Linked DNA regions of Xenopus tropicalis. The protein of the gene in region 1 interacts with the protein of each later gene in a pairwise test. Links are inferred from orthologs where the notes say so. Each region holds a gene or a part of one and is shown in the gene's direction. Other genes may lie near its edges.

What was found.
Region 2: the proteins of gopc (region 1) and fosl2 interact in a two-hybrid assay, tested with the Homo sapiens proteins (2 studies listed by BioGRID and IntAct). The two-hybrid records come from large-scale screens. The link is inferred for Xenopus tropicalis from reciprocal best matches to the Homo sapiens genes GOPC and FOSL2.
Region 3: the proteins of gopc (region 1) and mylk interact in binary tests that used the Homo sapiens proteins (3 or more experiments, as listed by UniProt). The two-hybrid records come from large-scale screens. The link is inferred for Xenopus tropicalis from reciprocal best matches to the Homo sapiens genes GOPC and MYLK.
Region 4: the proteins of gopc (region 1) and rhoq interact in a two-hybrid assay, tested with the Homo sapiens proteins (2 studies listed by BioGRID). The link is inferred for Xenopus tropicalis from reciprocal best matches to the Homo sapiens genes GOPC and RHOQ.
Region 5: the proteins of gopc (region 1) and cercam interact in a two-hybrid assay, tested with the Homo sapiens proteins (2 studies listed by BioGRID and IntAct). The two-hybrid records come from large-scale screens. The link is inferred for Xenopus tropicalis from reciprocal best matches to the Homo sapiens genes GOPC and CERCAM.
Region 6: the proteins of gopc (region 1) and dpyd interact in a two-hybrid assay, tested with the Homo sapiens proteins (2 studies listed by BioGRID and IntAct). The link is inferred for Xenopus tropicalis from reciprocal best matches to the Homo sapiens genes GOPC and DPYD.
Region 7: the proteins of gopc (region 1) and myocd interact in binary tests that used the Homo sapiens proteins (3 or more experiments, as listed by UniProt). The two-hybrid records come from large-scale screens. The link is inferred for Xenopus tropicalis from reciprocal best matches to the Homo sapiens genes GOPC and MYOCD.

The regions. Positions count from the first base shown.
Region 1 is NC_030681.2:74,163,411-74,167,975, forward strand, and holds the start of gopc (Golgi-associated PDZ and coiled-coil motif-containing protein), read left to right. Parts: upstream 1-1,482; 5' UTR 1,483-1,586; coding exon 1,587-1,838; intron 1,839-4,565.
Region 2 is NC_030681.2:5,731,199-5,735,750, forward strand, and holds the start of fosl2 (fos-related antigen 2), read left to right. Parts: upstream 1-1,285; 5' UTR 1,286-1,477; intron 1,478-3,053; 5' UTR 3,054-3,099; coding exon 3,100-3,210; intron 3,211-4,552.
Region 3 is NC_030685.2:88,421,536-88,426,330, forward strand, and holds the start of mylk (myosin light chain kinase, smooth muscle), read left to right. Parts: upstream 1-1,572; 5' UTR 1,573-2,087; coding exon 2,088-2,922; intron 2,923-4,671; coding exon 4,672-4,795. UniProt on the Homo sapiens protein: Calcium/calmodulin-dependent myosin light chain kinase implicated in smooth muscle contraction via phosphorylation of myosin light chains (MLC). Also regulates actin-myosin interaction through a non-kinase activity.
Region 4 is NC_030681.2:19,933,102-19,937,833, forward strand, and holds the start of rhoq (rho-related GTP-binding protein RhoQ), read left to right. Parts: upstream 1-1,743; 5' UTR 1,744-2,959; coding exon 2,960-3,101; intron 3,102-4,732. UniProt on the Homo sapiens protein: Plasma membrane-associated small GTPase which cycles between an active GTP-bound and an inactive GDP-bound state. In active state binds to a variety of effector proteins to regulate cellular responses. Involved in epithelial cell polarization processes.
Region 5 is NC_030684.2:25,849,141-25,852,348, forward strand, and holds the end of cercam (inactive glycosyltransferase 25 family member 3), read left to right. Parts: intron 1-194; coding exon 195-327; intron 328-812; coding exon 813-940; intron 941-1,728; coding exon 1,729-1,932; intron 1,933-2,070; coding exon 2,071-2,308; 3' UTR 2,309-2,560; downstream 2,561-3,208. UniProt on the Homo sapiens protein: Probable cell adhesion protein involved in leukocyte transmigration across the blood-brain barrier. Does not express any beta-galactosyltransferase activity in vitro.
Region 6 is NC_030680.2:102,292,707-102,297,243, reverse strand, and holds the end of dpyd (dihydropyrimidine dehydrogenase [NADP(+)]), read left to right. Parts: intron 1-1,065; coding exon 1,066-1,206; intron 1,207-2,380; coding exon 2,381-2,551; 3' UTR 2,552-3,536; downstream 3,537-4,537.
Region 7 is NC_030686.2:47,016,553-47,020,677, reverse strand, and holds part of myocd (myocardin), read left to right. Parts: intron 1-1,313; exon of another isoform or gene 1,314-1,420; intron 1,421-3,260; coding exon 3,261-3,436; intron 3,437-4,125. UniProt on the Homo sapiens protein: Smooth muscle cells (SM) and cardiac muscle cells-specific transcriptional factor which uses the canonical single or multiple CArG boxes DNA sequence. Acts as a cofactor of serum response factor (SRF) with the potential to modulate SRF-target genes.

The DNA.
Region 1 (4,565 bases):
TTTTCGCGAAAATGGTATTGGTAACGAAAAAGTTGCGACAATTTCCGAAAAGTCGCAAAGGCGCCGAAAAAATCGCAAAAAATACGAAAAAGCCGCAAAATGTTCGTTTTCCAATTGGAATTTTTCCAATTCGGATTCGAATTCGTGTCTTTGTAAATCAGCCCCATAGACAACGGAGCTGAGCTGGTCACACACTGGCTGAAAGCAGAAGGGGCGTTGCAGGTCTGTGATTGGGCATATTTATTTACTTGGGAGGCATTTAAATTAAAACCTGGAAGAGGGGAACAAACATGGCTGCTCCGTGGGTCTGTAATTCGTGCAAAAAACTTTTATAAGGAATTTAAAGCCGATACAAATTAAAACACAACAGCAGGTGTAAAAAAAAAAATTAATTGGCTGTCAGTATCACTTTAATATTTAATTTAGACTACAGCTCGACAGATGTCGGACATTATCTTTTGCATAGTCTTGTTTTCCGGAGGCATTAAAAATGAAGTACTGTATTTAATCTGCTATAAATTTGGTTTGTGTAGAGTCACGATTACACAAACATTGTATTATTGTCTGTCATATGCAGTTAATTTGTGTTCACTTTTTAGGTTATTTTATTTGATCAGCACAAACAGGACAGTCCGTGAATTCGCCAAACGTGGAAAATAGAGCGCAACACCGCACAGGATTGACCCACTGAAAGGATTACACCTGGATGTTGTGTAATGGGAAGCCATTGGGACCCAATTGAAAATGTACAGCAGGTGACAAATGCTGCTTTCAGTTGCAGTTCACTTTACAAATAATAGTGTTTAATGAAAGTACGTTTGGACATTTGTCCAAATTAGATTTTCTTTTAAGTGGATTTGCATTGCAGGATTTGAAAATGCTTTCAGTATAACAATAGAATGGGGATGATAAAAAGAAATAAGCCTTACACAGTAAAAACGTTTTGGAACAGCTCGCATAATAGAACTTAAACCCTTTGAACCCGGGTTCAAAACATCATCTACACTTGTGCTTAAAAACACACGGACAATTGCACTCTACGTTCTACCGGAAGGCCAAACTAGCAATTCCCAAGCAATCAGTAACAACAACCAGTTCACGTGACTGCCGCTGCTCAATTACCATTACTTTCTAGCATCGCTTGGTTCTGCCTGCTGCCGTCAGTTGTGGCAGGCAAGAAAAGTTGACCGCCTATACGCGCTTCTGTTTGTGGCAAATTCATAGTTCCAAATCACAAATTCCTGCCAAACACAATAAAAGCAGTCTAACATTAGTTATTGAGACTCGATCTGGAATTTATGGAGGAACGTACGTGTCTATATATACTGTCTCTAGGTGCGCGAAATGTAAACACCCAGTATCGTTTAATCCCCCTCTCAATAGGAAGCGTTTTAGATGTCACGTGTACTGTATCTAACAAATCGGCGTATTTGGATGACCAGATAGGTGAGGTTTTCGTGACGTTCCCATGGCTTAGCCAATCGGAGGAGAGTCTTGCCTCGCCAGGCCAGCCAATCAGAGAGTGGAGTAATCAAGTGACATTCTCCCTTTTTCTTCCTGTCTGTCGGTTATACGTCTGCTCCGCAATGTCTGCAGCTCCGTGCTCGACCTCTGCCTCCGGGCCTGTTCCCGGCATGTCGATGTTTCGCTGGCTTGAAGTGCTGGAGAAAGAGTTTGATAAGGCCTTTGTGGATGTTGACTTGTTGCTAGGGGAGATAGACCCGGACCAGGCAGATATCACATATGAGGGTCGACAGAAGATGACCACCCTAAGCTCTTGTTTCGCACAACTTTGTCACAAAGCACAGACTGTCAGCCAGATCAACCATAAACTGGAGGTACGCGTAGTGAGTGGATATGTGAAACCCAAATTCTGTTGGGGAGAGAATGGGGTTGCTGCGTAATATGGAAATATGAGAAATCGGTCAAATGGAGAAAGAGGGAAATAACGAATTAATATTGGAAAGACATAGGGCTTGGAATGCATGAAAAGAAAGCTAGGCTACATAGTAGTTAGTTGGCTGATGGAGTACACAGGAGAGATGGAGGAGGATGCAGAGCATAGAAGATTAGGTGTACAGAGTGGTGGGATTGCATTTAAGTCTAAAGGAATTAGGAAAACTGGTATTGAAATATTGGATTAGATATAATGAGAGAGATGGAGGATAGGAGAAGCTATAATGAGAAAGTCGGAGTAAATTTATTGAGAAATAGATATGATAAAAAAAAAGTTGGGGAACTGGAGTAGGTATAATGATAAAGCTGGTGAATTGGAGAAGATATATCAAGAAAGCTGGAAAAGATATAATTAAAAAGTTAAAGGGATGGAGTAGATATAATATTAACAAGTAAGATGTTTGGAGTAAATATAATATTAAAAAGTTGGAGGAGATATAATGAGAATGTTGGAGGGTTGGAGTAGATATAATGAGAAAGTTAAAGGGTTGGAATAGATATAATGAGAAAGTTAAAGGGTTGGAATAGATATAATGAGAAAGTTAAAGGGTTGGAATAGATATAATGATTAAGCAGGAGAAGTGGAGTAGATATAATGAGGTTCAAGTAAATATGTTATATATTTAGGAGGTTGCTCTGTAAGGGCCATGACACACAGTCGCGCCACAACAAATCTCTTTTGTTGCGGGCGACTAATCTCCCTGCAATGCCATCCCACCGGCTAGAATGTAAATTGCCGGTGGGATGGCATACGCGGTGCTGGGATTTGCCAAAGTTGCCTTGAGAGGAAACTTCAGCGACTTCGGCAAATCGCAGCGTCGCATATGCCGTCCCACCAGCGATTTACATTCTAGCCGGTGGGATGGCATTGCAGGGAGATTATTCGCCCGCGACAACGGAGATTTGTCGCAGCTACAGTTTTATTGTTATTGCTACTTTTTATGAAAAAAAAATTCTATCCTGGTTCTCTCCTAATCATATATCAGTATCTCATTTAAACCACTCCCTGGTTGCTAAGTAAATGTGGACCCTAGCAACCAGATAGTTTCTGAAATTCCAAACTGGAGAACTGCTAAAAAACACAAATAATAAAAAATTAAGACCAGCTGCAAATTGTCTCAGAATAGCACTCTCTACATCATACTAAAAGTTAACTTCGAGGTGAACAACCCCTTTAATGGAATAGATATTTTTTTAAAAAATGGTGCGTTCAAATTACCCAGAAAGTTGGAGTAGATATATTGAGAAAGTTGGAGGATTGGACTGAGGTAGATATAATAAGAAAGTTGGTGGATTGGAATAGATGTTGAAAAATGAGAAAGTTGAAGGGCTGGAATAGATATGAGAAAGTTGGAGAATTGGAGTAGATACAATGAGAAAGTTGAAGGGTTAGACTAGATATAATTAAGTTGAGGGTAAAGTCGTAGCTATAATGAGAAAGTTGGAGTAGATATGAGAAATTCAAAGGGTTGTAGTAGATACAGTGAGAAAGTGGGAGGACTGAAGTAGCTATAACCAAAAAGCTGGAGAACTAGAGGAATGACAGAAAAAGACAATGTAGTAATATTTCTGGCAATCATGTCACAAAGATTTGATGGAAAATCACTATTTGGCAGTGTCTTCAAAGGTGGGATAAATTACTCTGTGCTTACCCACTATCAGCTAGGGACAGTCGTAGTGCAAGCTAACAACCTCCTCTTCAATGTTGTAAATGGGTAACTGAATGCAAAGTTTAATTTATGCAAGTAGAGTACAATGCTAAGAACTCTTATAAAATGATTGTAGCTACCTTTCCCTTTAAGAATGGGTCCTAATGCTCCTAAATAACTGCTCCTAAATAACAGGTACTAAGGACCTTTCAGAGGATTGTTAAAGCAGTTCCTCTGGGCTGGCACTCACAGTAATTGCTATAGTAACTGCCTGGGTTTAGGCAGTGGATCAGGGGGTGGTTTTGTCCCTTCACTTCAAGTTAGAGCTTTTGTGCTGCCACCCTGCTTTTCTTAGATTCACGTGGGCATTCGACTACCCTTTCCTGTACTCTTCCTGTCAAGATGGAGTTTTTTCTCCAGCAGCTTTTTTTTTTTTTTTTTTTTTGGTGCTGTCAAAGGGGATTTCCACTGCCTGTTCTTTAATTTTCACAGCTTTCTTCCAGCCTCAATGTTAGCCATATTTGTAGCACTTCTTTTGCCACAGAACCCAGGTGCAGTTTTACAGGGAACCTTGTATACACTGCAGGGAACGCATTTAACCCTACAAATGCAAGTAGGAAGGTCGGTAATGCAAGTTTTCACCCATGCCCTAGGTGTCTGCATTTATAACTTACTTAGGCTCTAAAAGTGGTAGTTCTGCAGATTGGAAAAGGATTGCTTATACATAAGAATTAGGCAGGGAAAAGTGTGGAAGACTGCTTGTATGTATGGAAAGGGTAACGAAATTAAAGAAGGAATTATTATTTTTACTTAGAGTGGAGGGCATAGTTGAAGGAAGATGGCTTATACATATGCAGTAGTTTGTATTCGGACCATAGTCTGTTTGTATATGATAGGCACCTTTGATTATACGATCCACTGGGGCTCTGGGATTTATAAGTAAAGCATAAATGAATAATT
Region 2 (4,552 bases), about 68 Mb from region 1:
GGGTTTAACCCCCACCTTCAGATTCAGGATATTACTCACTGTATTCCCCTACCCACCATGTATTGCCAAAGGCCCATTTGAAGCCTCAATACTAAGCGCTACAATGGCCCGTAGTACGGAGCCCCCACCTTCCCAAGCCCAGCAGGTGCTCCGAGCCAGCCAGGGAATCCCTCCCGCACACGTCACTCCAACCAAGGGAACCCGCTTGCGTCACTGCCCATATATGGCTGCTACTTGCGTCAATGGAGCGAACCAAGCGCTTGGCAGGGGAGCCAACAGCTGGGATAGTCCAATAGTGCGGGGGGGGCAGAGCTGAGCGGGCAGGTCGGGGCAAGTGGAAGAAAGAGGTGAGAGCGCAGGGTAACACCCCCCCCGGCCTGGTACTGCCCCACTCTCCGCAGGAAACAAGGGCGGCCACGCCCCGGGGGAGGAGCCTGAGTCGCATTGGGAGCGCTGGTAGCTCAGTCAGTGATCAGAGTGACTCCGGTCTGACTCACCCAGCGCAGCTCCAGCGGCAGTGTCATCGGCGCTGTACAGTGTGCCCTGTGCCGTACTGACAGATCTGCCCAGTCAGAAGTGCGACTTCCAGCCCAGCCGGGGGGATCAGAGGAGCCGGCAGTGTGCCCTGTGCCGTACAGCTGGGAGTGCAACTAGTGCAGGACACATGGAATAGCAGCACAGCCTGCAGTGTACCTAGCGCTGTACAATCGGAATAACTAAGAGTACCTAGCGCTGTACAATCGGAATAACTAAGAGTACCTAGCGCTGTACAATCGGAATAACTAAGAGTACCTAGCGCTGTACAATCGGAATAACTAAGTGTACCTAGCGCTGTACAATCGGAATAACTAAGTGTACCTAGCGCTGTACAATCGGAATAACTAAGAGTACCTAGCGCTGTACAATCGGAATAACTAAGAGTACCTAGCGCTGTACAATCGGAATAACTAAGAGTACCTAGCGCTGTACAATCGGAATAACTAAGAGTACCTAGCGCTGTACAATCGGAATAACTAAGAGTACCTAGCGCTGTACAATCGGGATAACTAAGAGTACCTAGCGCTGTACAATCGGAATAACTAAGAGTACCTAGCGCTGTACAATCGGAATAACTAAGAGTACCTAGCGCTGTACAATCGGGATAACTAAGAGTACCTAGCGCTGTACAATCGGGATAACTAAGAGTACCTAGCGCTGTACAATCGGAATAACTAAGAGTACCTAGCGCTGTACAATCGGGATAACTAAGAGTACCTAGCGCTGTACAATCGGGATAACTAAGAGTACCTAGCGCTGTACAATCGGGATAACTAAGAGTACCTGGGGCAGGACACTTGGATCGGCAGCACAGCCGGCAGCGCACCCAGCACCCTATGGGAGAGAGATCGCACTGACAGCACCCATTGGATTACAGGGCCGGGCCTGGCACTTTATATCTATTCGCCCCACTGGGCGCCCGCTGAGTTGGATTAACAAGGTGGGGGCATCTCTTGCCAGGGTATCAGCGGGTATATGTCTTATGGATCAGCGGGTATACGGCGTGGGGGGGTGATCCGACAGAAAGCAATTATATGGAGAAGTGTCCCAATGTAGGATATGGAGACATGGCACAGTGGGTATGGGGGCACAGTGGGTATGGGGGCACAGTGGGTATGGGGGCACAGTGGGTATGGGGGCACAGTGAGTATGGGGGCACAGTGAGTATGGGGGCACAGTGAGTATGGAGGCACAGTGGGTATGGGGGCACAGTGAGTATGGAGGCACAGTGGGTATGGGGGCACAGTGGGTATGGGGGCACAGTGAGTATGGAGGCACAGTGGGTATGGGGGCACAGTGAGTATGGGGGCACAGTGGGTATGGGGGCACAGTGAGTATGGGGGCACAGTGAGTATGGAGGCACAGTGGGTATGGGGGCACAGTGAGTATGGAGGCACAGTGGGTATGGGGGCACAGTCGCACACATTGCACTGGGTATATGGGTAAATTGTGGGTATATGAGAGGGTATAGAGGGTATATGACACACAGTATAGTGGGTATATGGGCACACAGTACATTGGGTATATGGGCACACAGTATAGAGGGTATATGGCACACAGTATAGAGGGTATATGGGCACACAGTACAGAGGGTATATGGGCACACAGTATAGAGGGTATATGGGCACACAGTATAGTGGGTATATGGGCACACAGTATAGAGGGTATATGGGCACACAGTATAGAGGGTATATGGGCACACGGTATAGAGGGTATATGGGCACACAGTATAGAGGGTATATGGGCACAGGGTACAGAGGGTATATGGGCACACAGTATAGAGGGTATATGGGCACAGGGTACAGAGGGTATATGGGCACACGGTATAGAGGGTATATGGGCACACAGTATAGAGGGTATATGGGCACAGGGTACAGAGGGTATATGGGCACAGGGTACAGCGGGTATATGGGCACAGGGTACAGAGGGTATATGGGCACAGGGTACAGAGGGTATGTGGGCACACAGTATAGAGGGTATATGGGCACACAGTATAGAGGGTATATGGGCACAGAGTACACAGGGTATATGGGCACAGGGTACAGAGGGTATATGGGCACACAGTACAGAGGGTATATGGGCACAGGGTACAGAGGGTATATGGGCACACAGTACAGAGGGTATATGGGCACACAGTACAGAGGGTATATGGGCACAGGGTACAGAGGGTATATGGGCACACAGTACAGAGGGTATATGGGCACAGGGTACAGAGGGTATATGGGCACACAGTATAGAGGGTATATGGGCACACAGTACAGAGGGTATATGGGCACACAGTACAGAGGGTATATGGGCACAGGGTACAGAGGGTATATGGGCACAGGGTACAGAGGGTATATGGGCACACAGTATAGAGGGTATATGGGCACACAGTACAGAGGGTATATGGGCACAGGGTACAGAGGGTATATGGGCACAGGGTACAGAGGGTATATGGGCACAGGGTACAGTGGGTATATGGGCACACATTGGGTGCCAGTGTCTGATTGCCTTTCCGTATGTGTTTTTTGAAGATTGGACCCCGGCAGCCTCCCACCCTGTGAGTTCAGAGCTCAGATCATGTACCAGGATTATCCAGGGAATTTCGACAGCTCCTCCCGTGGCAGCAGCAGCTCCCCAGCCCAGCCTGAGGGTTACCCCAGCAGCACCTTATCTACCTCCATCCTGCAGGTGAGGGTCACTCTCCCTTCCCATTTGCCCCCCCCCTTCTGTAATCTCTGCCTCTCCCTGTGTATTCCCTCCCCACTCCCAGAACATTCCTGCCTTTGTCCTCTGTATTACATGCCTGTGTCTGCTTTATCTTGTGTTACTGCCCCCTGTACTGCCCACTGTACTGCCCGCTGTACTGCCCACTGTACTGCCCCCTGTACTGCCCACTGTACTGCCCACTGTACTGCCCACTGTACTGCCCACTGTACTGCCCCCTGTACTGCCCACTGTACTGCCCCCTGTACTGCCCCCTGTACTGCCCCCTGTACTGCCCCCTGTACTGCCAACTGTACTGCCCCCTGTACTGCCCGCTGTACTGCCCACTGTACTGCCCACTGTACTGCCCGCTGTACTGCCCGCTGTACTGCCCCCTGTACTGCCCGCTGTACTGCCCGCTGTACTGCCCCCTGTACTGCCCACTGTACTGCCCCCTGTACTGCCCACTGTACTGCCCACTGTACTGCCCCCTGTACTGCCCCCTGTACTGCCCCCTGTACTGCCCACTGTACTGCCCCCTGTACTGCCCACTGTACTGCCCCCTGTACTGCCCACTGTACTGCCCGCTGCCCCCTGTACTGCCCTCTGCCCGCTGTACTGCCCACTGCCCTCTGCCCGCTGTGCTGCCCGCTGCCCTCTGTACTGCCCCCTGTACTGCCCGCTGCCCTCTGTACTGCCCGCTTCCCTCTGTACTGCCCCCTGTACTGCCCGCTGCCCTCTGTACTGCCCGCTTCCCTCTGTACTGCCCCCTGTACTGCCCTCTGCCCACTGTACTGCCCTCTGCCCACTGTACTCCCCGCTGCCCCCTGCCCTCTGTACTGCCCACTGAACTGCCCCCTGTACTGCCCTCTGCCCACTGTACTGCCCCCTGTACTCCCCGCTGCCCCCTGTACTGCCGCCCCCCCACCTACATTGTACAGTATTAGGGTGCAGTTTCTATGTACCCTGCCTGTTTAGCCTACACATACTATGGGGTGCCCTTTAGTAACCCCCCTACATACAACACTGGGGACCCAGGGCCCCTCCCAGCCCCTCTCCCCGAGCTGCTCACACTCTGCATTTTTGAATTTGGTTCTTGGGTTCTGAGCTGTCAGATGCTCTGCCTGTCATTGGCTGCCGCCGTCCCCTGTGACCTCCCTATGATTCATGGGTAGAAGTGTGTCGAGAGCACATGGTGAATTTAACCCCAGGATCCCCAGTGTGCGTGGAGTGTACATTACATGGGGGACCCTGGGAAATGATTCCAGATCCCTTAACCCATTCCCTGCTGATCCATGAAGTGTTGTGTAGCTTTATGAGAGGTTGT
Region 3 (4,795 bases), on another chromosome or scaffold:
ATGTGTCGAGTGATTAGAGAATTTCTGCCACAGTGTGAGGGTTCCGGTTAACCGTGTACTCCCTCTGTATGCGTGCTGTGAAGTTACATTCTGATTATAACAAGGAAGAAGATGAATACAGCCAAGCGATGGGGCTCGATTACTCCTCATGTCGAGACAATCGGGATACTTTTTCGCATTCCCCCTCAGAGATATACAGCGACTTGGGACGTGTGCTAGTAACACTCACGGGCCGACTTACTACCTGCCGACCGTTTGGCCAGAACCGGGCTCACGGGAGAAAAACGTCGCTCGTCGGGCCACACGTAAAACTCTCTCTGTGTGCTCGAATGTGGTTTATATATTCTTCAACTGTCATATTCTGTCTATCTGCCCGCCGGGCACTACTTGCCCGCACAATATTGATCCAATATCTTGCACTCTAGACTTCAACCGTGTCTCTTTATTCATTGGGCCAGAGGAGCCATGTGACCCTATTAATGTAAACCATTCCGTGTTGTCTCCTTGTTTTGGGTCTGAGAGGAAGAACCGTGAATCGCAGAGTAAGATACTCCTGGGTACACCGCCTCTTGAATTGTCTCAGTGGCTCCTCTACTCAACTGGTGAACTTGCCCCTATGCATGTCGCGAAAGCCGCCAGGGCGTCACATATGATGGAGCAGGCAAACAGGTTCGTGGGCAAATAGGAGGTTAAGGACAGAGAGTTATGGTTAGAGGAGTTAAACTGTTGGGGATGCGCCTATAATGGGTACTAAGCGGTGGGCATCGCGTATGAGTAGTGTTACTACTAGGGGGGTATAAGTATACGGGCTACAGCTCGGCCCCCGCCTAGAGCTGAGTAATCAGGAGGGGTATTATCGTGGTGGTACAGTCTGGACTGGCACGTATGAAGGGTTTATAAGGAAGGGTTATATGGGTACATGCGAGCTAAACGAGTGGATATGTAATGGTGTTGTGAAGGTGTAGTGAAGGAGTGTACAAGCGTGAGTCTCATTTTTGGGCAAGTGAAGTTATATATTCTAGGCGGGGTGGGTCATAGGGTATCGCCGCCCGGTCTTATGGTGGTTTGCGCGGCAATAGAGTTATATAGGCCATGGGTCCGGTATCCATAAGTACTTTTGGGCGGAATTGGGAGTTGACTCATTGGTGGGAGAGGGTATGGGTATTATTTCGGAAAGAAGGCCATAGTAGTATCATAGGTGAAGGGCTCTTATGGGGTACTATTGGCGCGCGCTTAATAGAGTTCTAGCACTATGGTGCAGGAGTAGCTCTGGAGGTATATGCGCCTCGATCGTACTTTGTGGTCTCGGGGCTGGATATAGTTGTTATAATTTGGGAGGGGTGGGTATATGGTGATCTTATATAGTGTGGGGCAAATAGAGTTACTACTAGATAGAGGTAGCGTATAGGAAAGGATGGTATATTAGCAAGCAGTGCGGAGTAATAACTAGTGGAAGGACAATAGTGGCTAGGGTACAGGTGATGGATTCTGGCCATTTGATGGGCACTTTTGGGGTTGCTCAGTCCCGTCAGGTGTGGCGTTTTCTGTGTCCGGCTTGCTAGCCGCCCCCGAGAAGGCCGAGTACATTCCCGACAACCAGGAGCCCAGAACCCAAACCTGTCGCCACTAATGGCCTCAATGAAAGAGGTTCCGGATCCTCCCACGGAACCAAAGCTTCGCACATAGAGAAACCGGACGTGTCCCCCGTCGGGATCCCCGGAACCCCTTCCAACAAGCCGGTGTCCATTTCCAACACGGACCCGTCGCCCCCCTCTCGGGCCGTTCCCAACAGTTTCTCTTCAGATCCGCCCAGGGGATCCAGCAGGATCTCTCCTTCCCTCCCGGCCCCCGGCACAAAGCAAGGCAAGGAGCCCCCACCTGTAACCTCCCGTTACACCTCCACTATCCAACCCAAAGTTAGACTGCCTCTGTCTTCTAAAGAGACGCCCCCCACCACAAAAGCGACCGCACCTTTCCCAGACAAAGAGACATCCTCTCTATCCCCCGTAGACTCATGCCCTGTTTCCGCTAAAGAGACATCTCCTGTGGCGTCACGGACCTCCAGTAACATTGACTCTAAAATACAGATGTTTTTATCGAAGGATAAAACCAGCGCCAAAGAACCTCCTTATCTTGGGGTGTCGGTTCTAGACTCCAAGAACAAGAGCGTTCCACCAAAAGGCCCCGGAGACATCATCCAAAAAGAGCCACTTGGACGGACCCCGCGGGAACCCACCCAGGAGTTTATAAGAGATTCCCCATCTGATGGTTTCACAAAAGAGACGTCTTCCAAAAAGTTGCCTTCTGTAATGAACAGAGAGACCTCGTTCTTGTCGGCACGGGAGCGGATAATGGGGCCCACTATAAAGTCGCCTTACGGTTCTGCTAAGACTTTAGGGAACCCGGCTTCTCTGTATGAAATGTCTAAAGAGACCCGTTCAGATGTCCCTTCTAGACAGATATCGAACGTGACCCTCAGCGAGAGCTTGAAGCCAAAAGAGACCGCAGAATTTAGTTCTACGCAGTCTTTTCCCAAATCTAGAGAATCTCAATCTAGACTCCATGGTACTACAAGCAGCACCCTGTTGGGATCGAGCACCCAGCAGCACCCAGATACCCCACAGCGTACAGCCGAGACCTCGCCAGATGGTGGGGAGGTAAAACGCCAGAAGACCGCCTCCAGTACCATCACCCTGAAGTCTGTCAAGATAGAAACCCAACCCAAGTCTGAGATAAGTCATGGTGGGACCAGGCACAACCAGCAGTCACTTCCCTTGGGCCGGGAGGGGTCTCATTCACACCCGGGGTTGTCGGACACAAAAGAAACCTTGAGCAGAAGCCTTGGAACTGCCCCCGGCTTCGACCTGAGTCCCTCAAGCCAAGAGGTGCCGGAGGGCAGCGAAGTGATATTCAGGTGCAAAGGTATCTGTTTCACTGTAAAGGGGAAATATTCCTTGTATTAAAGGCAGAGTGTATTTTAATAAACATCCCCGGGTGCAGAGTTCTTCTCCTCTCTACTTCCTCCTCTTGGGCTGCTCTCTTCCCAGTGGTCGGATGGGGAGGGACCAAACTGAGAAGCAAGTTGTCATTGGGGTTTATAGCAGCTTGATGTTGCTGTGGCCACTAGAGGGTGCTCTTGCTTCACAGCACTTTTGTACATTGTTTTCCCTGATTACTATCAATCAGACCAATGGGAACCTTTCATCCATGTCCAAGCCCCGCCCCCCTGCCTGACCGTGGCAAGAGAGCAGCCCAGATGGAACATATGTATTGTATCAGATCTCTGTATATAGTAAAGTACTGGGAGAGACTGGGTTCATAGTGGCATAAATACAAAACCCAAAACTGTAGGAATCCGTTTGCTCTTGTGTGTGTTTTTTGAACCAGTAAGTAAAGAGAAAATTCTATAATATTATGTTTGTAGAATTTATTGGCCAAACTGAATAAAATGAATAAGCAGGAATCTCAGCCATAAAGCAGGGCAGGACTGCTGCTTACAATGGGGGGGGGGATCAGATAGGATCTGTGCCACTGTGACAGAATGCTCTGTTATACAGATAGCTAGAATCTCAGCCATAAAGCAGGGCAGGACTGCTGCTTACAATGGGGGGGATCAGATAGGATCTGTGCCACTGTGACAGAATGCTCTGTTATACAGATAGCTAGAATCTCAGCCATAAAGCAGGGCAGGACTGCTGCTTACAATGGGGGGGATAGGATCTGTGCCACTGTGACAGAATGCTCTGTTATACAGATAGCTAGAATCTCAGCCATAAAGCAGGGCAGGACTGCTGCTTACAATGGGGGGGATCAGATAGGATCTGTGCCACTGTGACAGAATGCTCTGTTATACAGATAGCTAGAATCTCAGCCATAAAGCAGGGCAGGGACTGCTGCTTACAATGGGGGAATCAGATAGGATCTGTGCCACTGTGACAGAATGCTCTGTTATACAGATAGCTAGAATCTCAGCCATAAAGCAGGGCAGGACTGCTGCTTACAATGGGGGGATCAGATAGGATCTGTGCCACTGTGACAGAATGCTCTGTTATACAGATAGCTAGAATCTCAGCCATAAAGCAGGGCAGGACTGCTGCTTACAATGGGGGGATCAGATAGGATCTGTGCCACTGTGACAGAATGCTCTGTTATACAGATAGCTAGAATCTCAGCCATAAAGCAGGGCAGGACTGCTGCTTACAATGGGGGGATCAGATAGGATCTGTGCCACTGTGACAGAATGCTCTGTTATACAGATAGCTAGAATCTCAGCCATAAAGCAGGGCAGGACTGCTGCTTACAATGGGGGGATCAGATAGGATCTGTGCCACTGTGACAGAATGCTCTGTTATACAGATAGCTAGAATCTCAGCCATAAAGCAGGGCAGGACTGCTGCTTACAATGGGGGGATCAGATAGGATCTGTGCCACTGTGACAGAATGCTCTGTTATACAGATAGCTAGAATCTCAGCCATAAAGGGTCCCTGCAGTTCTACCTGTGCAGCAGCACTTGGGGGGTTAATACTGGCAGCGCTGGGTTTGGATCAGATTCAGTACTGTAGGTGCCCGGGGGTTCAATATTCGGCAGGTCTCTCCCATGATTCCTCCCTAAGATTCCACTGTTATTATTAACTCTTGCTTTCCCTCCTTTCCCCTCATTTCGCTGTCAGTTTCGGGAGATCCCAGACCGCGGGTCGAGTGGTTCCGAGAGAATTCGGCGCTGGGGGAGAGGGACGGGGTGCGGATCAGGGAAGGGGCTCGGATTCACTCGCTGCACTTGCTGAAGGCACAGAC
Region 4 (4,732 bases), about 54 Mb from region 1:
GTGCTGTGACAGTTTGCATGGGGTGGCCTGATTATTGGATAAACCACATATTTGTGGGCTGAGTATATTAAAATGATAATGCCATACAGAGACATATGAGCTCATTGTTAGGGCCAGAAGGGTAGGCAACACAGGAACTTGTCTAGGCAAACATTTTTGGAAAAAAAAAAAAACCAGGGTCCAAAATTGCAGAAAACATTTATTTCAGTCTCATTGTCCAAATTCAGTGTCGCTCTTCTGCCTTCCTGTCCAGTGTCGGACCCAACCTTTTTATTCTCTTAGTCTCTTTTATTTACATGGTAGCATCTATTCTTACATCTATTTCTTCTCTTTCTTCCCATTCTTGAAATACTGTACCATGAAATAGGCCAAATGGTCAGGAGCAGGAGAGCCCACTGACCCCTGGGCCCCCCGGGAGTTTTCCTGGTATTCTGGTGGGCCAGTCCAACACTGTTCCTGCCTCTCAGTGTGTCACTAAAGTTGGCAAGGGGTGGGCACCAAATGAGTGGAGTCCAATTTGACCACCCAGGCACTGGACCAAACCAGGCTGATCCGACTGTTGACCCTGGGACCAAGGATCAGATTATGCAGTGGACAATGGCCACATCAATGTACCAACATGGGCCTCATCTGTTGTGATTTTTAGACCTACCCAATCAGTCCAGCAGCATGGTCAGTGGTCACTATACATGGGCCCATAAGCTACCAACTAGGTCGGGGGGGAACCAATCAATATGTGTATGGTCACCGTAATCCAGTGGTCCCCAACCAATGGTTCGTGAGCAACATGTTGCTCCCCAACCCCCTTGGATGTTGCTCCCAGTGGCCTCAAAGTAGGTGCTTATTTTTGGATTTCTGGTTAGTAGGCAAGCTTTGATTGCATAAGACCCAGTGTAATTGCCAAACAGAGCCTTCTGTAGGCTTCCAGTCCACATAGGGGCTACCAAGTACCAAGCTCTCATTGGCAACTCCAGAAACTTTTTTCATGCTTGTGTTACTCTCCAAAACATTTTCCATTTAAATGTGGCTCACAGGTATAAAAGGTTGGGGATCCCTGCTCTAACCCTTCCAGACAGTGGGTACTGGTGTGGTTCTAAAGCTTCTTGACCTTGTTCAAAGGCCTTGGTACTAAGTAATCTGCAACTAAATCGCTTGCCATATCATCAGTGTTCCTCTTCCTTGTCATTCTCAAAATGTCTTCCCATTATATATTTAAATGTAAACCTTCTGCCAGGGTTGTGGTTAGTGAAAATGGGGCCTCGGTGCCCCTGGCAATGCAGGAAACCTGTCTGATTCTGATATCAAGTAAATAAAATAAATCATGCATGTCCAACTTTCAGCCCTGCAGCTGTTGCAACTGCCAAGAGGACAATAGGGCCAAAGAGCCAGACATCAAGGGCCCACTCTCAATAAACTATATATAAATATATATATAACAGTCCTTGGATAGAGTTCACTAAATCTTGGCCACCCAGGGGTTCTACTTGTACTCTTAACCCCTTAAATCCCCTGAACTCCTCTCTTCAACTAATTTTCTCACATCTATATCATTTAATCATGACTGGGAAAATACATGTTTAATGTGACTTTTCATTTTTCATTGCAGCCACTGGGTATGTTGTGCCCCTGAGCTGAGTGCAAGGGAGGGGACAGGCAGAACCCTTATAAGACTCTTCCTTATGTTTGGAATCAAGCTCTTTGGAGACGCTCCCTTAGCCTCCCATCATTAGCAGCCTCTCTCATCCCTACCCCCCCAGCCAAGCTAGGCTGAGACTGCACAGCCGGAAAGTGATGTGCCCTCTGAAGTTGGGGGGAGGGAAGAACTTAACAGTTTTGAAATCTGTACATTTTAAGAGGAAATCAGATGTCATTGCAGATATGAGCAGCTCCCCAGGAGTGCTGAGTCGGGACTGGCAGCCGGCAGTGCTGTGACCCCAGGTTCCGCTTTCCACTTCCAAGGAACGTTGTATCAGTGCTGGGAAGGGTTTCTTTCTACATTGTATCGCTGGGAAAGGGGTCTTTTGCTTAGTAGCGCTGCTAGGGGGGTCTCTTTAGTGGAATCGCTGCTGGAGGGGGTCTTTTCAGTAGTCTGACTGCTGGAGGAGCCACTTTGAGACGGTGCATTACTCCTGGAGGGGTCTCTTCCATTGTATAACTGCGGAGGGGTCGCCTACATAGTATCACTGCCGGAGGGGTCGCCTACATAGTATCACTGCCGGAGGGGTCGCCTACATAGTATCACTGCCGGAGGGGTCGCCTACATAGTATCACTACCGGAAGGGTCGCCTACATAGTATCACTGCCGGAGGGGTCGCCTACATAATATCACTGCCGGAGGGGTCGCCTACATAGTATCACTGTCGGAGGGGTCGCCTACATAGTATCACTGCCGGAGGGGTCGCCTACATAGTATCACTGTCGGAGGGGTCGCCTACATAGTATCACTGTCAGAGGGGTCGCCTACATAGTATCACTGTCGGAGGGGTCGCCTACATAGTATCACTGCCGGAGGGGTCGCCTACATAGTATCACTGCCGGAGGGGTCGCCTACATAGTATCACTGTCAGAGGGGTCGCCTACATAGTATCACTGTCGGAGGGGTCGCCTACATAGTATCACTGCCGGAGGGGTCGCCTACATAGTATCACTGCCGGAGGGGTCGCCTACATAGTATCACTGCCGGAGGGGTCGCTTACATAGTATCACTGCGCTACTTTGTGACATTGTGTCGCTGCTGGAGGAGTCGGATCAGTTGCATCACTGCTGAAGGAGTCACTTTGTTATCACTTCCAGACTCGGAGGAGACAGTCGCTGACTGTACAGGCTGTATCCCTCCCGGACTCGGCCGAGTCGCTCACTCACTGACTGTGGGAGAAGGAGGGGAGATGCGCTGCGGTGCCCAGTCCCCCCCAGCAGTCTGCCGCCCACAGCATGCCGGGGAGATGAGCCTCCTGTTATCATGGCGAATGGGACAGGGAATAGCATGCTGAAATGCGTGGTGGTGGGAGATGGGGCAGTGGGCAAAACTTGCCTCCTTATGAGCTATGCCAATGATGCCTTCCCGGAGGAGTATGTGCCCACTGTGTTTGACCACTATGCGGGTAAGTTGGACTTTCTAACGTACATGGAGCATAGTCACATCACTATGGTGGAGTTAAAGCCCCCCATCTGGGGGGGGGGGGGTGCCTGTTTGCCTCTAGGAAGGAGATTACTGGCAAGCTCCTTATTGCCATGGTTTCAGTGCCAGGGAGCTGTGTGGTTGGTTTCCTAGCAATCAGGAGCTGACACTACTGTCCCCTGCCAGTGCCACTCACATCCACTGGGACAATAGAACCATTGTCTGCCCATGATCAGCACCATGTTCCCTGAAAAGTGCTCCAATAGACATCTAATGCCAGGCACTTAGCCACTGCCAGCTGCCCATGGCCATTGTTTTATATAGGGGCATAAGGAATGCCAGGCTCTGGCCTACCCTGTAATGATGCCAGGTTCATTAGGGTCAGTGGTTCATTAGGGAGGTTATTATGAAGGTAGGTTCATTGTACATTGCCCTGCTCTGATATGAAGGCATTAATATGCTATAATAGGGCAGTGTAAGCAAAGCAACTGTTGGACAAGTGCATGAAACTCTGCCAGCCTCACATACTTAGCACTGGGGGCTCATCTGGACACCTGCGGGGGATTTTGCTTAGAGATATTTAATTACAGAACAGTTTTTTTATGCTTACCCTTTATACTTTTATACAATATATCATGTTATTCTTACTTATAAACAGTAATTGGGTGGGATTTTATAACCGTAGCTTGGTCTGTGTTATCCACATTCTCCCACTGTAGACTCATCATATCAGTGCATTTCCCATAGAAGTCAAAGGGAGCCATGGGGCAGTCAGCGGGGACTGTGCTACATTTGCCTAATGTCTGTGCCACATCGGGAGATCTGACTGGTTCCAGCAAAAAGGAAGGTGATCAAAACATGCTAAAACCAGAGAGGGGCCACTTTTACACACTAATATCTGTGTTCCTTAGGCGTCACCCTTCATTTATCATACACAAATGTTTCCCATGCATTAGAACAGAAAGATATGAAAGATGCAAAGGAGAAGTTTTAAACACCCAGAGTGCACTGTGGTGGCCAAACTGCCCTTTAGGTTAAAGAGAAATAATCTGTGTGGAATATGTGTCACTTTAAGTGTTAATTGGCAAGGGTGGGTTTCCCTATTGGTGGTTCTGGGGCAATTGACCAATTGAACAAATATTTTGGGGCACCCCTTTGCAATCCCCATTCTGCCTTCAAAGATGCAGGTTAGATGGAGGAACAGTGGGTTCTTACCAGGGACTGCTGCCCCTATAGTTATCCCACTGGCCAGTATAAAGAGTAGTTACCCCAACCTGCTGTACTCTACACACCGTCCCTACAGTTACAGCCCCTTCCCCAATACCATCTTCTCGACTTACTAAACACTCTATCCCACAGGTAATGTTCCCTCCCCAAATCTCATCTTGCCTTACTACAGTTACAGTTACAGTCCTTCCCCTAACCTCATTTTGCCTTACTGCCCCCTCCCCTAACCTCATTTTGCCTTACTGCCCCCTCCCCTAACCTCATGTTGCCTTACTAAACACTGTATCCATGAGTTACTGCCCCCTCCCCTAACCTCATGTTGCCTTACTAAACACTGTATCCCTGAGTTACTGCCCCCTCCCCTAACCTCATCTTGCCTTACTAACA
Region 5 (3,208 bases), on another chromosome or scaffold:
GTGACGTCTCTGCAACAAGCCAAGCCTCATTCAAGAATGTGGGCGGCGCTTGTTTATATACTTATGTTTTCCTTGCCCCCTCCAATGACTTCAGTATAGGGGCAGATGCAGGAATATCAGTTGTCATGGTGGGCCAGGTTGTATATTTTCTTACTCTTTAATTGCCCTGTAAACTCTTCTTTGATCTGTCCTAGTGCCATGAACAGCAGTGACATAAAGCACCTGGGTGTCAACCTGCTCCCTGGATACTATGACCCGTTCTCGGGCCGAACACTTACCAAGGGGGAAGTTGGCTGCTTCCTTAGCCATTTCCAGATCTGGAAAGAGGTAAAACAATGCCCCTTCAAGGAATTTGAAAACACTGTCCCCTCTTGACTTGGGTTTGTACTTTGTGCTTTATGTGGTTGGGAAGAACGTGTTTCTGAAAGCTGCAGTTGACTTGTATTGTTCAGGCAAGGACAGACATTGGCTGCTAAGTCACGCCCATAACAAAAGATCCGCTTATTTGGCAACCTCGCTAGTGATGTGTGTGCCAGTCTGAAACCTGGGGGACCCTTGGGTTAGGGCCGCAACCTTACTATGCCCGGCTTTGGCAGCCTCTATTTATAGACACACCCCTGCCAGCCCTGCCACCTTTGTGACATCAAAAATGGGCAGATTGAGCGTGAGTCTATAAAAACAGGTGCCTTGTTGGGTTGGGAGAGGGCGGTTTAGGGTTGGTGCAGGTTGACAAAAAACAAGCGCCCCCTCTTACAGACTGGTCATTTAAAGTATTGCTGTTTATTTTAACGTGATTGGTTTTTCACCCCTAGATCACAGAGCGGCAGCTGGATACAGCAGTCGTTTTTGAGGATGATGTGCGTTTCCAACCATTCTTCAAGCGGAAGATGATTCGCCTTATGGGGGATATTCGCAGTGCAGAGCTGGACTGGGATTTGATGTAAGGGTGTAGTGATCACAATGCAAGAGCTTATGGGTACTGGCACATGGTAAATCTGTGCTACTGTGGGCAACAAAACACACAAAAAAAATGCCTTCACTTACCTTCAGATGCGCAAGAAAGAAAAACAGATAAGCTCTGTAGAATACAATGGGTTTAGTTCTTATTCAGAAAAATAAACAGGGATCAAATGCCATTCATGGCTCACTGTGGGACTACAGAATGGAAACCTCTCTCGTACAGAATATTTGTTGCCAAGAAATGTATGGTTAATAGTTAGTTTTGGGCATTGCACCTATGACTTCACTTATGTGAGCCAGTAGATACATCATCTTGGAAAATGTAGCCAATGTAGTCCAGTAGGACATCACAAACCATGGAAAACATGACCATCTGATCAGCAGTTATATGGGCCAGTAGACTCATAAAACCCTGAAGATGGTGGCCAAAATACAAATTAGGCACCAATCTTGGAAAGTGGTGATGGTGGCACCAGTGGTCAAGTGGTGCAAGGTTACATGGACAGATTATTTTATGTTGGATATACTGATCACGGGCACTTTCACTAACAATAGAAGTCAGCGGTGGAAAGCCCTTAGCATTGCTTCTTTGCGCAAAGTTGCCTGCAGGAGGAAACTGAATACCAGAGCAATGCAAAGGGCTTTCCATCGGTGACTCCTATTGTTGCCAGTGGAAAACCATTTCACAGAGGTTAGTCCTGATTGACTGAACCACTGTGTGGGTTCTTAGCCTTATAAATCACTGTGACAGGTTTCTCCTTTCTTTAGTTACATAGGGAGGAAGCAAGTGACCTTGGACCCAGAACAGCCAGTGGAAAACGTGCCGCACTTAGTGGTTGCCGATTACTCCTATTGGACCTTGTGCTACATCATCTCCTTGCAGGGTGCCCAGAAGCTGCTGAACGCAGAACCGCTCTCCAAAATGCTCCCAGTGGATGAGTTTCTGCCAATCATGTCTGACACACATCCCAAGTAGGTATCCTCTGAAGAGCTCAGGTTGCCATGTTTAGCCCAGTTCATTACCCTTACATTATAAAGAGCTATTTGTGTGTGTGTATCTATATTATCCTGACCTGTTTACCCCACCCCTTCTCTGTTCTGTACCCTCAGTAAGGAGTACAAGCAACACTTTGTGAACAGAAACCTGCGTGTGTTTTCTGTTCATCCCCTTCTCGTTTACCCAACTCATTACACTGGGGAGACCAGCTGGCAGAGTGATACGGAAACCTCCACCCTTTGGGACAACGATAATGTAAGAACAGACTGGAGCGGGTCGCAGAAGACCCTGAAGGACACAAGGGGAGATTCGCACCCAGTGCTACACCCTGCATCGCATGATGAGCTGTGACAATGAGAAGTTAGGGTTAATAATCACAGAGACATGTGACCTCGTATTGCAATGCAAAAAATTTTTATTAGGACTCTGGTTGGCAGAGAGACTGCTTTGCTTTGGCTGTCATTTTAAGCAGTAAGTTGCCTAAGTGGCACAGCAGGGAAGCAATGTGTTGCCATAGTTGTTGACACAAAAATTGGTGCTACAAAAAATGTGTAATGTATTTTCTGCACTTTGAATTTATAGAGTAAATGTTTTTCTAACTGAGCCATGATTGCAATTGTTTTCAGGCTCTATCAAACTTCGAATCACTCATTGGATAAGTAGCTTGAATGTGGCCAATTTCACTTTCTTTCAGTTGAGGCTCCTTAGCTCCAAAGATGCTTTCTGTGCACCTAGGTCTTTAGCTCTGAGCCAGCCTCCTGGGCACCTGGGTCTTTAGCTCTGAGCCAGCCTCCTGGGTACCTGGGCCTTTAGCTCTGAGCCAGCCTCCTGGGCACCTGGGTCTTTAGCTCTGAACCATCCTCCTGGGCACATGGGCCTTTAGCTCTGAGCCAGCCTCCTGGGTACCTGGGCCTTTAGCTCTGAGCCAGCCTCCTGGGCACCTGGGCCTTTAGCTCTGAGCCAGCCTCCTGGGTACCTGGGCCTTTAGCTCTGAGCCAGCCTCCTGGGTACCTGGGCCTTTAGCTCTGAGCCAGCCTCCTGGGCACCTGGGCCTTTAGCTCTGAGCCAGCCTCCTGGGTACCTGGGTCTTTAGCTCTGAGCCAGCCTCCTGGGTACCTGGGTCTTTAGCTCTGAGCCAGCCTCCTGGGTACCTGGGTCTTTAGCTCTGAGCCAGCCTCCTGGGAACATGGGTCTTTAGCTCTGAGCCAGCCTCCTGGGTACCTGGGTCTTTAGCTCTGAGCCAGCCTCCTG
Region 6 (4,537 bases), on another chromosome or scaffold:
TGGTGACTGCAGTGTCATTGGCCAATTGATATAACCTTTCAGTATCTTAATTGTCAACCAATTAGTAATGGGTGTATCTGTCCAATTTCACTTTGTTGAAGAATTATCAAAATGGCAAAAATTTACAAAATACATTGAAGTCAATGGGCGTCTTATTTTTTACCACGCAACTTTTTTTTTTGCAGCCATTGGAGTTTATAAGTGTTCTTCTGTGCGAAACTTAAATTTCACTCATTGTTATCAACCATATGTCTTTCCATATAACTATTACGTTTAATATTTTAACTTTGGTGCTAGCATTTGTTTTTCAAGAAAACTGTTAAAGTTCAATGCCTGCTCCAGATTTTACCCTTACTATTGCCATAGTGAACAACTATAGTCCCTAGTTTGTGAAGGGGGGAAACAAGAAATGACTAAAATATAAATTTATATTACATAGACCTAGATAGACCAAAATGTTCCATCTCACAATTTCCACTTAGTGATGGGCGAAATGTTTCGCCAGGCATGGATTCGCAGCGAATTTCTGCGTTTCGCCATTGGTGGATTGTTTCGCAAAGCGGATGAAAAAATTTGCTGCGGAAAAATTCGCAGCACGTTCAAAAATTGTCGCCCGCGTCAAAATAATAGTCGCGGGCGACAATTTTTTTTGACGTGCGACATTTTTGCCGTTTCGCGAATGTTTTGAAAGATTCGCGAATTTTCTGGCGAAATGGGACAGATTCGCTCATCACTATTTCCACTTAATGCATCATATAGATGTATACATTCATTTTCGAGGACAGATTGTGGACATGAGTGCTTTTATTAAACTCATCTACAAAATAAATAATTAATAGTTAAGTTTTTAAGAGGTAAGTTCTTCTTTCAGTTAAACTGATGAATGCAAATATAGATGTTACACCATTCTCTAAGGATTAAAATGTGCCTACACAAATGTAATTGTTCTTAAAGAGTGTGTTGTTTCAATTGCATTTTATGAAATACCATATATTTAAAGTGTCTGAAGCAACTGATAAGTAGTGGGGAAGCCCTTTACCATTTGACTGTATTTTTGCTGTTTAGGATGTTATTGGAAGAGCTTTGCAATATATTGGATCTTACAGTCAATTGAACATACAAGAACAAGTTGTAGCCCTGATTGATGAGGAAATGTGCATAAACTGTGGCAAATGTTATATGACCTGCAATGATTCTGGATACCAGGTAAGTTCACTTTTATAAAGGATAAATGCATTTAAAAAATTGCATCTATATACTGTAGAACATATAGGTTTAATAAATCAATGTTTAACAACAGACCGAAGCTCATGTTTATTAATGTGTAAAAATACACCATATATTGGCATTAATGGAACTAGGTAAAAATACACTGGATTTTACCTATCTGTGCTGAACCTAAAATTCTGGGTTAACTACCCCACCCCCAATAAATGAGCTTAATGTTACATTTTATGTAATGTTCTTATATGGGTTGACTTTTAGAATCATTTAATATTCAAAGTATGTTAATCTGACCCTTATTTCTTGCTTGAAAGTGGGTGTTCTTTTTGAGGCAGTGTTTACACAAAAGCAAGGTCTTGCCTATTTGAATTGTGCTGCCATAGATTCCTTCAAATCATAGGGATTATGTTAAACAAACAAATCATTAGGGTTGAGGAGACTTCCATATACAGATACAAATAAACAAAAGGAATTCTGGGATAAATCCATTTAAATGGGATTTTCTAAGAGTTTGTTTGGAATTCATTCCCAGAATTCCTTTTGTTTATTAGAGATTATGTTAGACTTCTTTAACAGAAGCATATTTGCAATACAGAACTTTATTGTATGTGTAGTGTTGATTACATATAGCCTTGCATGTCCCTGGCCATATCTGGCATATGATCCTGCAGAAATCAACATGGTGAGCAGCTTGAGGCAGAGGACCCACACCCACCTAAACAACTGACCCTTACTTTTTCCTCTGAAAGCCTTAGTGACATAGTGACACAATATGATCAGTTTTTATCAAGAGCCAGGTAACCTGCCTCTAGGTTTTTGGAGTGTTAAAGGAAATCCACACAGAGGACATTGCAGCTAGATCCTTGGTTGGAATAGAATCTATGACCCCAGTGCTATCTATAGTAACCACTTTCTAGTAACAGCAGAATAGTATAGTCAATTCACTATTAATACTATAAGAAACCCTGACATTTTATGAGACTGACAATATACTATTCAATTTCTTGGTGACATTACTTTTTGAATTTAGAATTGCTGCTTAGTGTTTTTCCTATGTCTTCTATCAATTACTTCTGAAATGAATAAATAATGACATTCACGCTTGCTTTTTAAAAGACCTTTATTAAAATGACCTTTATTTTATTTTTCCCATCAGGCTATTGAGTTTGATCCTGAGACTCACCTGACTACTGTCACCGACAGCTGCACTGGCTGCACCCTGTGCCTTAGTGTCTGCCCCATTATTGACTGCATCAAAATGGTTGCCAGGACAACTCCTTATGTACCAAAGAGAGGCTTACCCTTAACTGTTAATCCAGTTTGTTGAGGTGAATAGTTCAGTGGTTAATGTGAATCTCATGTCTACTGCTGCTGACTTAGTATCTCATTATAGTACATTATGTGAAATCAGATCAGAATATAGAAATATAGCGTTTTTTTAATTACACTTGTATATGCCGGCCATGTAGCAATGCAGGAATCCAACGGCAATTGGCTCTAATATTCACAAATCTTATTAACTCTTTTTCAATAGAGCCATTACATTATGTGCCTTAAAGTATAACCCATTGTTTCCTAGTTTTTATAAAGTTGGTTAATGCAGCACAAATGATAACATAACAGAGCAAATGTTTTATAATGCAATTAAAGTGCCTTGTATTTCTTCATATTTTCTTTTTAGTCAGAAACCACGAGCCATAATTAGTGGCATGAAAAACAAAGAATTAGGGGAAGAATTACGGTTTGTAAACAGGCGATAGGCATATAGTGGGGATTTAACTCTGGATTAAGTTCTTTCTGCAGTGTGTCCACTGATAAAACATAATGTATTTCTTAAGCCTTCGTACATTAGTGCTCATAATGGACCCTGTATAATTCAGAACTATTAACCCTTTAGAGCAAGCAGAAAAAATACTGGACATTTTTTTTCCTTGTTTGTACTGAAGTAGAAAATACTTAATCTGCTATATTCTCTGTGTTGTTTAATTGCATTGGTTTTATTCAATTAACAATAATTAACATTAAAGTGAATTACTGTCTGCATACAAAATTGGCAAAAGCAAAGAGTGCAGAGTAGTCTGCATTTGTCTCTCACCAATTAAAGACCATCACCTTAAATTTGTTTTAGTGTAGGAGATATTTAATCTGAGAAGTTTCAATACATATGTTTGTTTATTATGGGAATCTGGTTAATATATAATTACATACAAAGCTGCACGGTATGGTTTGGGGATAAAAATATGCTATGTAATCAATGGAGTGTTTTCAATAGCTTTAAAAAATTCTGAAATAATTAAAACTATCAAGCCTTATATGTGTTTTGTTTTGTTTTTATCCATTATCAAGGGACATCGGTGTCCAGGGATAAAAATGTGGCACTATATAGACAATAACTTGTACTGGTACTGAGATGGAACTATTCCCACTGGCTTTATATACTTCTAATCCAATCTGACTTAAGCATATGCTGTACATCTGTACAAAAAGTCATATGAACACTACCACTGAATCTCTATTAGACATTTGGGAAGTGGGGATAACCCCTTGTTTATTATGGTTCCAGTATATTGAAAGAGTCTGGAGAATGCCTATTCGCTTTCCTAGACATTTCTGAAAGCCAAGCAGAAAGGTCAGTTGTGGTAAGCTTTTGGCTCTTTTTCTCTGGCATAGAAATTCTTTGAATTATGACCAAATGGCTGATACTGCACTTGTCATTAATAGGAAGTATTTAGAAAGCACCAACATATTTCATAATGCTGTACAATGGAGGGGTTATAAACTGAACATACAGATTACATACAAAATACAACTAATAACCGATACAAGGACTAAAGAAGGTCCTTTCACAATGTGTGCTAGAGTCAGGCCCGGATTTGTGGCAAGGGCCCGGGCCTAGGGCGGCACAAAATTAGGGACTGCATGCTGCCCCGCCGCACCTAAATTTATTCACATATGGAGCACTGGGAACAGGACACGCAGAAAACTTAATCTGCATCCTTTCCGCATGCGTGATCCTGAGGGGGGTGGAGGGGGTGTGGAATGAGAAATCCGATGCTGGCTAGAGTGTGTTTTGGGTACAAATTGCTAGTGCTAATGTTTTGGTTATGATCACGAGTGATGATCATGAGTGTAATATGATGACTGGCACATGGAGTCCTAATGGGATGTTGGGAATAGTCCTGCTTATTAACATTGGGTATTTGTTAATATACGTAACACACATAATTCATACAGACAGAAAAAGATATCCTCTGCCAAGTCATCCCTGGTCTGGCCAATCCTACACTCCCTTTCATCTACATTTATACTATTT
Region 7 (4,125 bases), on another chromosome or scaffold:
TATACATCCGGGGGCCACTTCGGCTTTAACTGTGTGATTGCCAAGGGCAGGACCTGAGTGGTGGCCACCAACTCTACAGCTTGGGAGGGCCCAGTTACTACTAAGGTTTCATTCTCCTGCCCCGGTAGCCCTCACTTGGTGGCTTGGCCTCTCCTGACTAGATTGGTCGTCCCATGGATGGCTTTCTAGACACAATGCTGAATTTCCACGTGAATAAAAAGCTCAGGGTTAGTTTGCCTTTAGCAACATTAGATAAGAGAAGGGCCAGTTGCTTTGGAACCAGGACCCATGTACAACCCATGTCATTAGTCCTCTCCTATAAACTGTTAATCAGTCAGTTATCAGGCACAGGCTGATAGAAGCCAGATGCGGGGGTGGGGAGGGGGGGTTATTTATCTGCCCCACTTGTGCTTGGTGATATCCAAGTGACAGTCTCTGGGGCACTTTAACTAATCAGTCCCGGCAGCGGGTCAAGAGGCGCTGTCACATTCTGACTATATCGGTACTGGGACAGATAACACCCCGTGCCCCGAACGTGTCGCAGACGGAAATAAGATCCCCCCCCCCACTCAGCCGGGACACTTCACTGGGCCACAGTCACATTGTGGTTTTTGTAAAGGGGATATAAACCCAAAGAAAAAAATGTTTGCGATTGGAAGGGTATCAAGGGCACAGCACGAATATCCACAGAGATAAAGGGCAATTAGAGATAAATTATACAGGTATAGGACCTGTTATCCAGAATGCTCGGGACAAAGGGTATTCCAGATAAGGGGTCTTTCCGTGATTTGGATCTCCATAACTTAGGTCTACTAAAGAATCAATAAAACATTAATTAAACTCTATGGGATTGTTTTACATCCAATAAGGATTATTTTTATCTTAGTTGGGATCAAGTACAGGTACTGTTTTATTATTACAGAGAAAAGGGAATCATTTAACCATGAAATAAACCCAATAGGGCTGTTCTGCCCCAATAAGGGGTAATTATATCTTAGTTGGGATCAAGTACAGGTACTGTTTTATTATTACAGAGAAAAGGGAATCATTTAACCATTAAATAAACCCAATAGGGCTGTTCTGCCCCCAATAAGGGGTAATTATATCTTAGTTGGGATCAAGTACAGGTACTGTTTTATTATTACAGAGAAAAGGGAATCATTTAACCATTAAATAAACCCAATAGGGCTGTTCTGCCCCCAATAAGGGGTAATTATATCTTAGTTGGGATCAAGTACAGGTACTGTTTTATTATTACAGAGAAAAAGTAAATCTGTTTTAAAATTCTGAATTATTTGATTAAAATGGAGTCTATGGGAGACGGGCTTTCTGGATAACGGGTTTCTGGATAAGGGATCCCATAGTAGTCTTGTTTCCTTCAGCCGACAGTATCATTGTAACTTGCCCTTTATACCTGAAACTAAAAGAGGAATTATGTAAATACAATAAACCCACAATATATACTTTCCTGGCTACACATATATAAATATATCTCTTTCCTTGTGTCTGTTCCCCCGTGCCGCTCGCCAGTTGTTGGGTTTAACGCGTGTCACAGCCACTTTCCAGAAATTGCCGTCACAGCACATAAAAGAAATAAATGAGTGGAAAGTTGGGAGAGCGGGAGTCTGGCATCATCTGTGTAATATTTCATTGGGACAGGGCGTATGGATATGTGCTTAACCCCCCCCCCCCGGGGCTCTGTTTCATTGGGTTGGGGTCCACTGGTTGTGTAAATAATGACTGTGCCTGTTGTTTAACTACAACTCTACAACCCGCGACATCCAAAACAACTGAAAGGCTGTAGTGTGAATTGTATCTACTCCACCATTGTCTCCATCTTGTCCTACTTCCTGCACCTGTCTCTACTGTCTCCACCTTGTCCTACTGTCTCCACCTTGTCCTACTGTCTCCATCTTGCCCTACTGTCTCCATCTTGCCCTACTGTCTCCATCTTGTCCTACTGTCTCCATCTTGCCCTACTGTCTCCATCTTGCCCTACTGCCTGCACCTGTCTCTACTGTCTCCACCTTGTCCTACTGTCTCCACCTTGTCCTACTGTCTCCATCTTGCCCTACTGTCTCCATCTTGTCCTACTGTCTCCATCTTGTCCTACTGTCTCCATCTTGTCCTACTGTCTCCATCTTGCCCTACTGCCTCCATCTTGCCCTACTGTCTCCATCTTGCCCTACTGTCTCCATCTTGTCCTACTGTCTCCATCTTGCCCTACTGTCTCCACCTTGTCCTACTGTCTCCATCTTGCCCTACTGCCTCCATCTTGCCCTACTGCCTCCATCTTGCCCTACTGCCTCCATCTTGCCCTACTGTCTCCATCTTGTTCTACCGTCTCCTTCTTGCCCCACTGTCTCTCTCTTTCCCTACTGCCTCCATCTTGTCCTACTGTCTCCATCTTGCCCCACTGTCTCCTTCTTGCCCCACTGTCTCTCTCTTTCCCTACTGCCTCCATCTTGTCCTACTGTCTCCATCTTGCCCTACTGCCTGCACCTGTCTCTGTCTCCACCTGTCTCTACTGTCTCCATCTTGTCCTACTGTCTCCACCTTGCCCTACTGTCTCCATCTTGCCCTACTGTCTCCATCTTGCCCTACTGTCTCCATCTTGCCCTACTGCCTCCATCTTGCCTTCTTGCCCTACTGCCTCTATCTTGCCCTACTGCCTCCATCTTGTCCTACTGTCTCCATCTTGCCCTACTGTCTCCTTCTTGCCCCACTGTCTCCCTCTTTCCCTACTGCCTCCATCTTGCCCTACTGTCCCATCTTATCTCTACTGTCTCCATCTTGTCCTACTGTCTCCATCTTGCCCTACTGTCTCCATCTTGTCCAACTATCGCCATCTTGTCCTAATGTCTCCATTTTGCCCTACTGTCTCCATCTTTCCCTACTTTCTCCCTCTTGCCCTACTGTCTCCATCTTGCCCTACTGTCTCCATCTTGCCCTGCTGTCTCCATCTTGCCCTACTGTCTCCATCTTGCCCTACTGTCTCCATCTTGCCCTACTGTCTTGCCCTACCATACCTGCAGTTCCTCCTTTTAGGTGGCTACAGGGCCCTGAACGTTTGGCTTTCCTACATATATAAATATATATTGACAATATCCCTCTATTTTTCTCAGTTTAGAGGGACAGTCCCAAATCTTGGAATTTCCCATTTAAATAGAGTTGAAATGAATTTTCCAGGCATCTTCTCAGTGTTTTGTCCGGTGACAGTAACCGGTAATAACATCTCTCTCTTTCTTTGACTCATGTAGGAAATCAGATGAACTTCTCCAAATCTGTGGATGCCTTTGCCTTTGAAGAGGACAGCAGCAATGATGCCTTGTCTCCAGCAAAGGAGCCGAGCGAGAACCCCCAGGTGCTCAACCAATCTCTCCAGGAGACCAAAGATTTGGAGCCCCTCAACTCCCTTCACTCAGGTCTAACACAGGTAAGATCTGTAAGGCCTATCCACTGTAAGCAGCAGTCCTGCCCTGCTTTATGGCTGAGATTCTAGCTATCTGTATAACAGAGCATTCTGTCACAGTGGCACAGATCCTATCTGATCCCCCCCATTGTAAGCAGCAGTCCTGCCCTGCTTTATGGCTGAGATTCTAGCTATCTGTATAACAGAGCATTCTGTCGCAGTGGCACAGATCCTATCTGATCCCCCCCCCCCCCCCCATTGTAAGCAGCAGTCCTGCCCTGCTTTATGGCTGAGATTCTAGCTATCTGTATAACAGAGCATTCTGTCACAGTGGCACAGATCCTATCTGATCCCCCCATTGTAAGCAGCAGTCCTGCCCTGCTTTATGGCTGAGATTCTAGCTATCTGTATAACAGAGCATTCTGTCACAGTGGCACAGATCCTATCTGATCCCCCCATTGTAAGCAGCAGTCCTGCCCTGCTTTATGGCTGAGATTCTAGCTATCTGTATAACAGAGCATTCTGTCACAGTGGCACAGATCCTATCTGATCCCCCCATTGTAAGCAGCAGTCCTGTCCTGCTTTATGGCTGAGATTCTAGCTATCTGTATAACAGAGCATTCTGTCGCAGTGGCCACAGATCCTATCTGATCCCCCCCCCCCCCCCATTGTAAGCAGCAGTCCTGCCCTGCTTTATGGCTGAGATTCTAGCT